Linked DNA regions of Caenorhabditis elegans. The protein of the gene in region 1 interacts with the protein of each later gene in a pairwise test. Each region holds a gene or a part of one and is shown in the gene's direction. Other genes may lie near its edges.

Region 1 (4,925 bases):
AGATTTTTTATTCTTTGTGTTTGATCCCTGATTTGACTAGAAAACATTAATTTGCTTGTTTGATACTCAATTTCCCATGTGCCAGTTTAATTTTGACAGTTGTAGGAATTCCTGGTTTCGTTAAAAATTAGTATTTCAACCATTGATTTGTTTTTGAAGGTATCTGTTAATCTATCAAGAATTTATTGTAAGAAACCACAAACTCGCCAAAATCTTGGTTTTGTATTTATTTTTCATATTTATTTTTTGTATTATCTATTTTTTAAACTCACTTTCTTACTGACTTGGCTTACATAAATAAAACCGTTCAAATTAGATGATAGATGACTTTCAAGAACTTAAAATTGGCAGAGAGTTACCTTTTTCAAAATGATGCGTATAATTCGGCACAATTTAGTTTTCAACACAATACAACATAAACAAAAAGTAAACAAAATTTTTAAAAGTTCGTCAATTATCAATTTGGTCAATTGTACGTAGTAATTGAATCCTTCTTTCCATCAACCGTAACCATATTTCGACTTTTGCTTGCCCCTTTTCCGTTTAATTAGCCTTTCCTCCCACTTTCCCCCGTGCCCACCTATTTCCTCTCGTACTTTTTTTTATCGTTTTTCGAGTACCTTTTTTCTGCTTTTCATTGTGTTATTCGACCCCGTATTTCTAACTTTCTGCAACCTGTTTCTTGTTTTAAACTATTTTAAACAAGTCAACATTCCTTCCCATCTCTGTCGGTCACTTTCATCTCCTAATCGTTCAGACATTGTTGCGATACTTGAACTTTTATTGTACTGTTTTAGTCTGATTGTTTTTTCGCGTTTTAATGTTTCTCTCGATAATTCAAAAAACAAATAAGTAAGATGTAAACAATAAAACATCTAGTAACAGTAGGCAAACATGAACATGTACTTGATCGGCTTCCAATGGCGACTTTGCCAACAAATCTCTGTTTTGTTTTCTCTATTACATGTATTCAGCTAAATGGTGTGAACATGTTTTGTTCACTTTTCGCTGAAAAAAAACCGATTTTTTTGGGATTCCACGTCAACATTTTCTCATCGTCTTTTGTGTGGTTCGTATTGGAATTTATGCAAACTGATTTTTCATATTTTTCATTGCCAGTACAAACACACAATCGATTCAATTTTTTGAACATATTACAGAACGTCGTTTTTCTCTCAATTATTATTGACTTCACAAGGAACAGTTTTAATTGTACCTGATTTTTTGAAGATTAGAATTTTGATAGTTGTACGAATGTTTAGGGATCAGCAAATTCTCTGGGAGATTTTTAGAAATCAAAAACAATTTTTGATCTAATTTTTGGTTGAGATAATTTTTCAACAAATTATAAATTACAAAAAAATAGATCCAGATGTTTTTCATGCTCTTAAACACTTATAAAGTCATTGAAAACCTACAAAAAAACATCAAAAAATTGAAAATAATCAGTACTTTCGAAATTAATATGTTTTATATATGAGATCTTCCCATGAGTCTTTCGAGAAGTTCTGATAGTGAGTGAATCTTTGAAAAAATATATTATTTGTTAACTTCTGTTAATTGTTAATTTCACTGTATATAAAATTCTATCAATTTTTAGTGTTTTTTTTTTGACAGTTTTATTTTTTTTTGTAATTAATTTTTGTACTATTGAAAACTCTTTTCCGTATCCTTCGATACTATATCTGTTTGGTTTCTAGTTTAAACTATCCTCTAATCCATTTTCTAATCCAATCAAAAACTATCGACCTCAGACGATAAACCAAAAACCAAACTGACGTCGTGATGCGATGCGCGTTCTTGAAATAGGTGTGACAACCCGCAAGCATATCGCTTCAAAAAAAAGAAAGACAAGAAGACGATAACAGATATCATTGTTAATCAGTGTGATGGGTGGGAGTGAGTAGTACGTGCTGATACACTTCTTCCGCGCATTTCCTATATCTCATCTCTACCTTTTCATTCACCCCGTTGTCTGCTTCTACTCTCTTTATATTCTTTATTCAATTTACTCTTGAATGGCATCGTTGAAATTATGATGATCGCAGCTCCGACATCATTGTCCAAGAACGTCGAAGACGGTGGCAACTTCTCAGCAGATTCACCGCCATCACTCAATTCTGATGACGAGCAACTCGACGACGCTCCGTTTTTGAGTCATCAGTTGTCCGACGATCACGAGTCATTTTCTGAGGTAAGAGAGGGTTTTCATGAGTACAGTATTCAGTCAAGCTGTGATTAACAAAAGTTCTTTTGGTTCCGTGTTTCTTTAAAAAAAGGTTTGATTTTGTGAAGTCGAAACGTTTTTTTTTCTCGCAAATGCATTTTTAGCAATGTACAACATTTTTTGAAAATAAAGGAGCAAACTTTATTCATTAAAACTATAGCTTCCTTCAGAAGTTTGTACCTAAAATAGAACTCTTACTTAAAAGTACATTCAAATTTAGCGTAAAGTAAACTGCCACTCGTGAGAATTTGGGATCTGCTGAAAATTTAACCTCGTAGTTTTTGTCTCATAGGCACAGATAGGTTTTTTGATGGCTTGCACTGAATTTTTTCAAGCGTTGCCATATGTTATAGAAAATGATCTGCAAGTGACAGTACAACTTTTAATTAAAAATAGAAACTTATTGACATTAAATATTCATTTTTTAGAAGTTTCTACGCAACATTCTGACACACGATTATCAGAATCTGATGCCACGTCGAAGAGAAAAATTTGTTGAAATCACGAAAACTGTCACTGTCACTGAGGTTTGTTTTTTTTTTGTTTCTTTTCGAGTTTCTTCTCTCAAAAGTCAGGTAATAATCAATCAATTAATGATCAGTGACATTGTTTGTCTGATTCTTCTCTTTCTTCTTTTATTTACCATCCTTTGTCAAGTTCTTCGTTTTCATAATAATCTACCATGTCGATTCTTTTCAATTTTGTTCCAACACCTGCAAAAACCAACTTCCACACTTTCAATTCATATTTTCACATCTTGATACCCCATCATCATCATAATTCTTTTCAATTCACTACTATCTTCAAAACCAATCAAGAACCGACTACTGAACTTTCACCCTCAAACTGATCACTATACCTGCGCAACACACTTTTTCTTCTCGGTTTCTTTGAATAACTTTTCATTTCACTTTCAGATTTTTGTGGAATGTATTGAAAGGGATGAAAGAAAAAGTAATATGAGATTATAGGAAATTGCAACAAAGTAATAAAATATGAGAAGGTTCTATGAAAGTTTCCAAAAAAAACTATTTTACGGAACTTCCGACTTTAAGATTCTTTCGATTTTCGAAGAAAAGAAATTAATACTGAAAGCTAGCATTTCAAAAATTAAACATTCAGTAGACTGATTGTTCACATTGATTTCTATAAAGCGTCTGAAAAATCAAACAATAAAAAAACTAGAATTTTATAAAATTTCGATGACGAAATTTCGATTAATACGAAACTCATAACAAAGATTCTAAACAACTTGTTTTCGCTGGTCGGAATAACATGAACTTATCGCAGTTAACAAAATTATTTTCATTTTGACCTTCATTTTCTTCTCCTATCATATGTATTGTGATTGTTGAAAATAATTCATAAAATAGGTGTTTGAAAGGCGAAATGTAAAAAATAATTTTAATTCAGATAGTCAACGGAGCACCAGACAAGCATCCGTCTTCGTGTGAAGTTAAAGTGACAAACGTTTCGCCGGCTGGACCTCATCCGGTTAACGTTTCCATAAAACATTTACACGAGAAATGGCATTCTTGTGAAGAGTTGGACAGATCAGACAACGGAGAAGACTTGGGAAAAGGGACCGTAATTCGTATTCAAGAAACACATAAACCATTCAATTGCACTCAAAAGAAACACCAAACAAATAAATTTGTATATGAAGACGTGATTAACACAAAAGTAAGAACCAAGTTAGAATGGTTAATAATTTATTATAATTTTAGATGGAGAGCTCAACAAAATCTCGTCAACCTCCATCAGCCAATAGTACACTTTTCAACCGGTCTAGTGATAATATCATAGATTTAGAGTTTAGACATCCAATTCTTAGAGAGACATCTGAAAAGAAATCAGAAAGAACAGAACAGAAAGCAAATGGAAATAATGGTACAAGGCGTCGCTTTGCGGATTTAAGGAAAAGAGTGTCGACTACTACAAAGACTTCTGTAACTGAAACAGAGAATGTGACAACTACAAGAAGAAGTAGCAGTGCTCATAGTACTCATTCAAAGAGGTAAATTTAAATCATCTTTAAGATTTTTTTTCTATCTGGACCTCGGGTTACAAGAAACATTGTTATCGGTTTTTTTGTGGCAAAATCATTGATAGATCCTCAAAACATTTTACGAAGTCTGTTAATACTGAAATTATCTTAAAACTTACTTGCAAAGCTTAAAATAAACTCTTAAACAATAATGGTTTTACTTCCAGAAGCTCCGCAAAACCAGAAGTTCATACACTGTATTACCGGAAATTTGTGGACGAAGAAACAAAAGGAGCAGATGATGATTCAAGTGATTCTGGAAGTGTTATAATTTATAGAGATGCTGTCACACGACGTTCTCGCTCAGCTGATCCTCTTCAGAATTCATCTCCAACAATGTCACCGATTGCTCCACCAAGAAAACGATTAGGAAGAGAAGAATCATTGCATTATTATCGAGATGATGACGAAGTTATTCAAGAGCAATCAAGTACTGAGAAGAGTCGAAGAGTTACTGTAAAATCTCCTGAACCAGGAAATACATCAGTTTCTATGAATGATAATGTTGAAGGTCGAAATTTAACTGCAGGAATTACATCTATATCTATGAATGATTCGTGTACAGATACTTCATACGAGTCAAGATTTTCTACAATTCCACGGGCAAGGAGTTCACCTCCAGGAAATCATCGGGTCAATCATATTCAGGTC
Region 2 (8,040 bases), on another chromosome or scaffold:
GAGAGTTTTTGATTGAGAAGTGATTAAAAGAAAGAATTTATGGGCGCTGGGCGGTTTCTTATAAAACTACCTAATTCAAACATTCCTCTTTTCTGTCACAGGCAGAGGGTCTCCTGAGACCTAAAAAACGGGTGGGCGCTCCACGAAGAAGACGCCGAAAAAAAAAAACAATTTCCCCGGGCGTCGTCGTTGTCGTTGTCCCTGCCTCTGTCTCCTCACGCTTCTTCCATGATTCATAGGGCTCCTTCTCCTTTTTGCTTTGCTTTTTCGCGATTTCTCAGTTTTTTGTCCCGTTTGATGCGTTCCGTATAATATAGAAACGTTGCTTTTTATCCAACAAAACTTTTACATTTTTGTACCAAAAATCCGACAGATTAGCCTATATGGATTAAAGATAAGCTGAGAGTCGGCTGGTATGCTAACTTGATTACCAGCATGCAATAGGATAAAAAATATTGTTCAGTTCTCCCTGTTCCTATTTCAATTTACGTCATATGCCAAAGACCAAAGGCCACGGGTGGTGTAGAGCAAGAGTCCGAGGGGAAATGCCCCGTTGTAATTGGGCGATAACATGAAGACACCCTCGATTTCATCGATAGGTCATTTTCACATTTTCACATTGTGATATTGATTTCTGAACGTTTAGTTTAGTTTATTATCATCACTTGTTTCTCTCGCATGCAAAAAGGTTTACAAACCCGCCTAGAAACCGCATAGGGAGGGGGAAGAGGCGAGAGAAAAGTTAGCATTCGTAGGTATTAAATGCATTTTCTAAAAAATAGGGTTTGAACAACAAATAATTGCTGTTTTTTGCTTGTACTTAAAATGGGCTCGAATTAGCATTCGAAATTCAAAAAAGACCAACAATTGATAGATTCACCAGTTTTGCTAAAGTTTCCAAGTTGCAGAGAATGAAAATTATATATATATTTTTTAATGGAATTATCATTTTTATTGATTGTTTGGTTCACATTATTTAGTTGATTCAAGTGTGTTAAAAGCCGATAAGTACTGAATTTCAATTATGTTTGGTAACCTATCAACTTTAAATGCACCCTTATTAACAAAAAAACGTGAGATAAATTATAAAAATATGCAATACAAATGATACTTTAATGCAGTTAATTTGCAACGCAGAAAAGTGTTTCCCAAATTTTAAACGCCCCCTCGAACGGAATAGCTTATTTATTTTTTGAGAAGTTCATTTGAGTACATTTCGAGTCTATACATGCAAACAATTCAAAACCGTATACATCAAAATTATTTCTATACATTTGTAGCTGCTTGTAACTCTATATGAATTAAACAAAAAAATCTCAAATCAAATTCGTCCGTTTCCGCGACATATTGTAACCGTTGATCTCCTATCAAAAGAGGAAATTCCCTTTATCTTTAAATTATAGTTTCCGGTCTCAGTACTTGCGCGACGACGTTTTTCATTCTGCTAATTATCACCATCAATCATCATATTTACTTTCCGACCATCTGTGTGATCAAAGTGATGAACTGAACTTGTCTTCAAATTTCAACAAATCAATTATCTGATTTTTCTCTTTTTCTCTTTTTCTTTTCTCTCTTTTCTCGTTCTCTCGCTCAACCAAGTTTGGGTATCAATTTTCTTTTCTTGCTCCTCCTCTCTGTTTTTTCCTTCTTCTCCACTTTTTCTTCCTTTTTTTGCTGCTCAATTCTGCTTTGATCTACTGGGAAGGCTGTGTGCCAAGATTTTCCAAAATGTTGTACACTGGCGGGTGTATCAGCATTCATTCGGTAACCGCTCATCTCGCTCTTTTCCGCGGCATCCCCCGTCAAAAGTCTGTTACCTTCCCCACCAAGTTTTCATCTCATTTCAAACGTGTGTTTTCTGCTATTTTTCTCGCATTTTTGTCTCTTTTGTTTGTTTAAAACAAGAAATGACTGAAAATTATGAACAATTATTCAGGTGACATTGTTTTTATGTCGGGTGGAAACGAAGAGGATCAGTTGGCACAATGCCAGGCCTATGTGCAACGACACAACATTCAGCAGCTTGTCAAAGAAGCAATTGGTGAGTTTTTGAAAATCTAGCAAAATAATAACACGAAAGTAAGAATACGATTTTTCCAGTTGTTCTGTGCATACACAAACCCGACAACCCGGTTCTCTTCTTGAAGGATCATTTTGAAAAACTCAACGAACAACGAGCACAGGTTAGTTGAGTTGCAGAGAATTTAGAAATTGAAAAAAAAAATATTTTCAACATAAAAGTGAGAAGAATGACAGAACCAGTTCGAAATTATGACCAGAAAAAGTATTCAAATTTGCTGACACTGAAAGAGTATTGACGTGGTACGCCAAAAAAGTTAATTGTTGCGTTTTGAAACGGTTCTTCTTATCGGAAAACGTAGTGTTGCATAAGCGTATTATAACGTTTTGAGTACAATTTGTGATGGGGGTTTTACAATTCTTCAGGATTTTTATTTAATTGTTCGTGTTTTCTGAACCATGAAACTCGGTTTCAGACTTTCAAATTTGAAATTCACATAGCTTTATAATTATATCATTGTTCTAGATCAGTGAAATTTGTTATTTTATTCTCATTCATAGTACCAAGTTTTTGAGGCATCGAAAATCTCGTTTGACTCGCTTCAAATATTTGAATATTTTATCCGGTTTTGTGGGAGCCAAGCGTCATGATTTTTTGTTTCGATCTTGTTTTTAATGAGATGCACTGCAAAAAAAAGCTTGAGAAAAAACTGGAAAATGCAAATTAGGTCAAACATCTTCCTGTGTCTTTTTCGTCATTCCTCCGCGTTTATGGCTCGAATCAATGAAAATGAAGCTTCACTTCGTTTTTTTTTTCGTCTTGTGTTGCTTCTTTTTTTCATAGAAAGCAAGCCTTGTGTATGTCGTTTTTCCGTCGGGGTCCTCTGGAGAAAGAGAAGAAAAAGAAGAAGAGGAAGAAGAAAAAGAGGCACTAGTTAGCTGGGAAAACGAAAGGATGAAAGAGAGCGGATAAGGCGTAACGAAAACGAAGAGAATTGAGAGAATGGGCCCTTTGAGACGAGTCCCAATGAGCCCTCCAGAGCTGTCCATCGAGCATCGAGCGCCCGCAGCCATTGGCTCAGCTGCCGAGCTCTTTTCCCTTTTTTTCGGGTCCGGTTTGTGAAGCGGAGAGAAAGTGACGAAGAATGAAGAAGGCCTCGGGGCAGATTTCTCTTGCTCTTCGTTGCTCTTCGGACGATCGCATTTTTCTTCTCCTTCTGCCGCTCCTTAATGCTCCATGCTTTTTGTTCTCCGTTGTTTTTTCAACACCCTCGCATTTTGTGTCTGGAATTTTTGTTTCGAAAATAATTGAAGTAGGTAGTATTTTCACAAAAATAACAAAAGTCAAAAGACTAGTCATAAATCTTTAGGAGGTCAGGTGAAAGAAAGGGAAGAGGAAACAGTAACAGTGACGACGAACCAAACATCATTGTCACGTTCTTTGAAGATGTGAAATTCTAGATTTAACCTTTTTTTTTCTCTGACACCTAATTTTTAAAATTCCAAAACATTTTGCTTTTTTTTCTGTCACAAATTTTAAACGCTTCAAACAAAAAACAACATTAGTCATAATCCAGGAAATATAAGGTATTACAAACTTTTTATGACGTCATCGTTACTTGCAACATTCTGAAAAGGTTCTCGAAACGATTATATATATATATATATATATATGATGAAAAACAACACAAAAAGTTCGGAGCTCTAGAATTTCAATTTGGGAACATTCAAAAAAACACAATAAAACTAAAACACTCGAGTCCACTTTTCACACTCCAATTTTTATGTCTTTTTTTGTACACATGTGTTTCAGTTTTAGACACAGCTTATCAAAATCGAATTGGGGCGGTTTTTTGGAATGTGGTCATTAAAAAAGTGTGTTTAAATTTCTATTGAAAAATTTGAACGTTTGTATTTTTTTTTGAAATTGTAAATAGAAATATTAATTTTGAAATGGAAAACTAAGTTTTGAAATTTAACATACTAAATTTGCCAATGCCATTCACTAAAGGACCATAAAGTGTGCGTACCTTCCATTTCCTGCGTCTCTCAACATATTTCTTTTGCATACTGTTCGGACGTTTATCGATCTTTTATGTTCTCTCTTCTTTCCAACCGCTTCCCCAGAAAAATAGTTTATTTTAAACACTCGTTTATGAAAATTTTTTGGCAAATGCTGATACACAATTTTTTTTTCATTTTTAAAGTTTTACAACTTTTATTTTCGAAAAACTAGGAAGTGCATACTCCGATATTTTCTATCTTCTCTCCGCCTCGTTTTCGTTATATTTGTCTGTCAAATTCAATAATCGAATAAAATTTGCCCCGAAGGCAGCTTCTATCCGGCCGAGTGTTTTTATGACCGCCTCAGAGATAGAGAACGATGCCAAGTTAAATGGAGAGAATGAAAAGAGTCACGCTTTTCTGATGCTAAATGACTTTATTGATTTTTGAGAGAAAAACTATTCGAATAAATAGCTCGTTTTTTACGAGGTTTTATTGAATATGTTCGAAAACTAGTAAAATGGGTTTTTTTTTCAAACGAATTGAAATATTAGTCATACCATTCTCTTTGTTTTTCTCCACGTAAAAAATGCCTCGAACGTTATCATTGTGTCATTTTCTATAAAATCAGCTGATTTTTATTTTCTGTACCACAGAAACTTTTATGAATTCTAAGAATAACGTGGCAGATTTTTAAGATAGGGAATTTGTCATTTATTGGATATTTCTCAATGTGTGCATAATACTCTCTGTGAGCACAATACACTCATCGTAAATTAACTTCGATGCGACAAATCAGAAATTAAATAGTTACTCTTAGAAATACTGAAATTGAATTTTTTTTTGTTGTTTCATAAAACAACATGAGTAAGAATAGAGGAACAATTCGAGACTATTTATTTTCTGTCTAAATGTTGCGGCTGCTATAGTAAATTGCCGGTTGCTTGAGACAAAAATGCATGAAGTCGTTGTGCCCTCCACCTACTAAATACAACTGGCAAAGCTCTTTCAGATATTGACATTCTTACTTTTTCCTCTTCCGTCCTTTCCTCTCCCTCTTTCTGTTTCGTTCATTTTGCGCTACCACAGCAAGAAAAACATTCACACGCCTTCAATTAGGTCTCATGTGGAAACCCGGTCCGATTTTGATTTTCGTCTTGTTTTTAGCCTTCTCATTCTACCTCCAACTACAACATACTACTCAATGTTTTGTCATAGTTGTTGTAGTTGAAAGTTCGACGCACACACAATTGCCTTATTTGCCTCCTGACGTGTTCCTTCATTTACAATAGTCATAGTGTTTGTTTTTTCAAATATTTATTTGACTGCTCACCACAACTCTGGTTTCCATGGATATGTTTTATTCCAAAACATCTGCTTCTTAGAAAATTGCCGTTACATTCCTCTTTTTTCACCTACATAGACTTTTTCTTATTCTTTTAACCAAGTTATTAATCAATATTGTCAGAGTATCACCACCAAGGAATGTGATGGGGCAGCAATTGAGCAACCGACGAAACTCGCAATCTGTGGGCGCCACAAAAAACGCAAAGACTCCAAAGCCTAAGGTGATAGTTTTTTGAGAGGATAATCACTTTTTTCTTATGGATTTTTGGATTTCATGCGTAGTTCGAATTAATTCTCTGATTAGAATGGCTTCTATGTTTTCAAACATCACATTTAATAAAATTTCTTGAAAAAATCAAGTTAGAAATTTGAACTGTTCAAAACCTGATCTTTTTAGGCAATTTTAAACGGATTCTGCAAACTTCTAGAAATAAAAAAAAACAAAAATAAAGGGAGACCTCAAAAATAAGAAATTGTTTTGCACAACAGAAACAAAAGTAACCAGGTGTCTGCTAGTATGATCGAATCTCAGTCACGACGGATGAATGATGAGCGGCGTGGAATGAAATGAAAAAAGGGGAAGCGCTGGAACCTTGATGGAGCACTAGCAAAATTGTAGGACGAAGAGACTTGCGAGAGCTACGAGTACGCATTTGAAGCACATTAGACGGCGCGGCAGCTCGCTCGGCGATAGATTGGCTCAGTGTGCACCGCACTTCATATTTCCTTGCGTTTTTCTTCTTGCTTCTTTCCATTGAAAAATTCTTCCAATCCATTTTCAATTCAGTGGTTCACACCTTAAAAATGGAGTTGAACATGTACCGGGTGAGTGAGCGAGTGGGTGTATTTACTTTCTGCTGTGTTGTTTTTATTGCGCAAATAGACAGGCGGAGACGGTTGCCCTGTTGCTAAACAGAAACAAGTAAGTTTGCGGCGTAACATAATTTACATTACCTGGTGGCCCACTTAATACGATTCCCGATTTACAATTTCCAACCTCAAGGTTAACGTTTTGTCGAAACAAAAAAAAAATAGCAGAGGGTCAGTAATTGACTGAACTGGTTCTGGTCATTTTATATTTTGATTTTTCATTCATTTTTTCCGTCGCTGAACTAACTGAAACAGGAAAATTCCAAAATGGTTTGTTATTTTGCACATCTTTTATTTTCAAACTTTCCTTATCAAATCTTAACATTTCAGGAAGGAGGAAATCCGGACGCTGCTGATGATGACGACATCATTGTGGAGCCACCAAAGAGATCAGGTGGACGCAGAACCGGAATCTCTGCCGAACCAATCAAGGAGGACGATACCGAGTACAAGAAGGTTGTGATTCCAAAGGATGATGCTACAAGAAGGTCGCTTGAGTCAGCCATGAGGAAGAACTTGCTCTTTGCTCATTTGGAGGTGAATAAATTCCCAAAAAAATTTCTAATAACATTAAATTTTTATTCAATTTTTTGGTTTTTAGGAGGATGAGCAAAAAACCATGTACGATGCCATGTTCCCAGTTGAGAAGTCTGCTGGAGAGACCATCATCGAACAGGGAGAAGAAGGAGATAACTTCTATGTTATTGATAAGGGAGTGAGTTGCTTCTCTCTAAGAGCTTATCCGTACTTTCATATTTAAGACCGTTGATGTCTACGTCAATCACGAGTACGTTCTCACCATCAACGAGGGTGGATCATTTGGAGAACTTGCTTTGATCTATGGAACTCCACGTGCTGCAACCGTCATTGCCAAGGTGGCAAAATGCCACTCAAATTCATTTTATATATTTTCTTCCAGACCGACGTGAAATTGTGGGCCATCGACCGTCTCACCTACCGTCGTATCTTGATGGGATCAGTAACAAAGAAGAGAAAGATGTATGACGAGTTCCTCTCCAAGGTTCAAATCTTGGGTAAGTAAATTGAAGAACCAGAGAAGAAAAATGAACTTAAGCCGAGACTCATCAATCATCTTTCAGCCGATCTCGACCAGTGGGAGCGCGCTAACGTGGCTGATGCTCTTGAGAGATGCGACTTCGAGCCAGGAACTCATGTCGTCGAGCAAGGACAACCCGGAGACGAATTCTTCATCATTCTCGAGGGAGAAGCCAATGTGTTGCAGAAGAGAAGCGACGACGCACCATTCGACGTTGTCGGACATCTTGGAATGTCGGACTATTTCGGTGAGCAATAATCAGAAAAAAAGAGAAAAATTGGAAAAAAAATGAACAAACATGGAAAGATCAAAAAACTAATTGTATTTGGCAATATGCGGGTGATTCAATAAATGCAAACATTTTTTTTATTGAAATATAACTCTAGACAAGATTTTTGTGACACTTCATATATCAATGTAGGCTTTTCATGAAATGCAGGCGCGGTTTCAGGGAATGACGTCGCTTTGCATTTTGGTGTTAAATCAAAACCCTGGTGTTTGCACCAGAGCCCGACACGTTTTGATTTTTGAACCGCACTAATCAGTAGGCGTGGGTCGCGACCCTTGTCGACGCCTGAATGAAAGCTTTATTTCAATGTCACAATTTCAGGAGAAATCGCTCTTCTTCTCGACCGCCCACGTGCCGCCACCGTTGTTGCCAAAACCCATCTCAAGTGCATCAAGCTGGATCGTAACCGCTTCGAACGTGTCATGGGACCAGTTCGTGAGATCCTGAAGAG

What was found.
Region 2: the proteins of T04F3.1 (region 1) and kin-2 interact in a two-hybrid assay, tested with the Caenorhabditis elegans proteins (one large-scale study listed by BioGRID).

The regions. Positions count from the first base shown.
Region 1 is NC_003283.11:11,738,195-11,743,119, forward strand, and holds the start of T04F3.1 (Aminotransferase class I/classII large domain-containing protein), read left to right. Parts: upstream 1-1,870; 5' UTR 1,871-2,035; coding exon 2,036-2,194; intron 2,195-2,655; coding exon 2,656-2,754; intron 2,755-3,201; exon of another isoform or gene 3,202-3,286; intron 3,287-3,640; coding exon 3,641-3,910; intron 3,911-3,954; coding exon 3,955-4,244; intron 4,245-4,441; coding exon 4,442-4,925.
Region 2 is NC_003284.9:5,971,738-5,979,777, reverse strand, and holds the start of kin-2 (cAMP-dependent protein kinase regulatory subunit), read left to right. Parts: upstream 1-1,923; coding exon 1,924-2,044; intron 2,045-2,103; coding exon 2,104-2,186; intron 2,187-2,966; exon of another isoform or gene 2,967-3,105; intron 3,106-5,494; exon of another isoform or gene 5,495-5,516; coding exon of another isoform or gene 5,517-5,594; intron 5,595-5,866; exon of another isoform or gene 5,867-5,982; intron 5,983-6,109; exon of another isoform or gene 6,110-6,244; intron 6,245-6,573; coding exon 6,574-6,780; intron 6,781-6,844; coding exon 6,845-6,958; intron 6,959-7,004; coding exon 7,005-7,118; intron 7,119-7,162; coding exon 7,163-7,277; intron 7,278-7,343; coding exon 7,344-7,547; intron 7,548-7,910; coding exon 7,911-8,040. UniProt on the Caenorhabditis elegans protein: Controls the rhythmic contraction of enteric muscles probably by regulating G-protein coupled receptor aex-2-mediated calcium influx in GABAergic DVB neurons.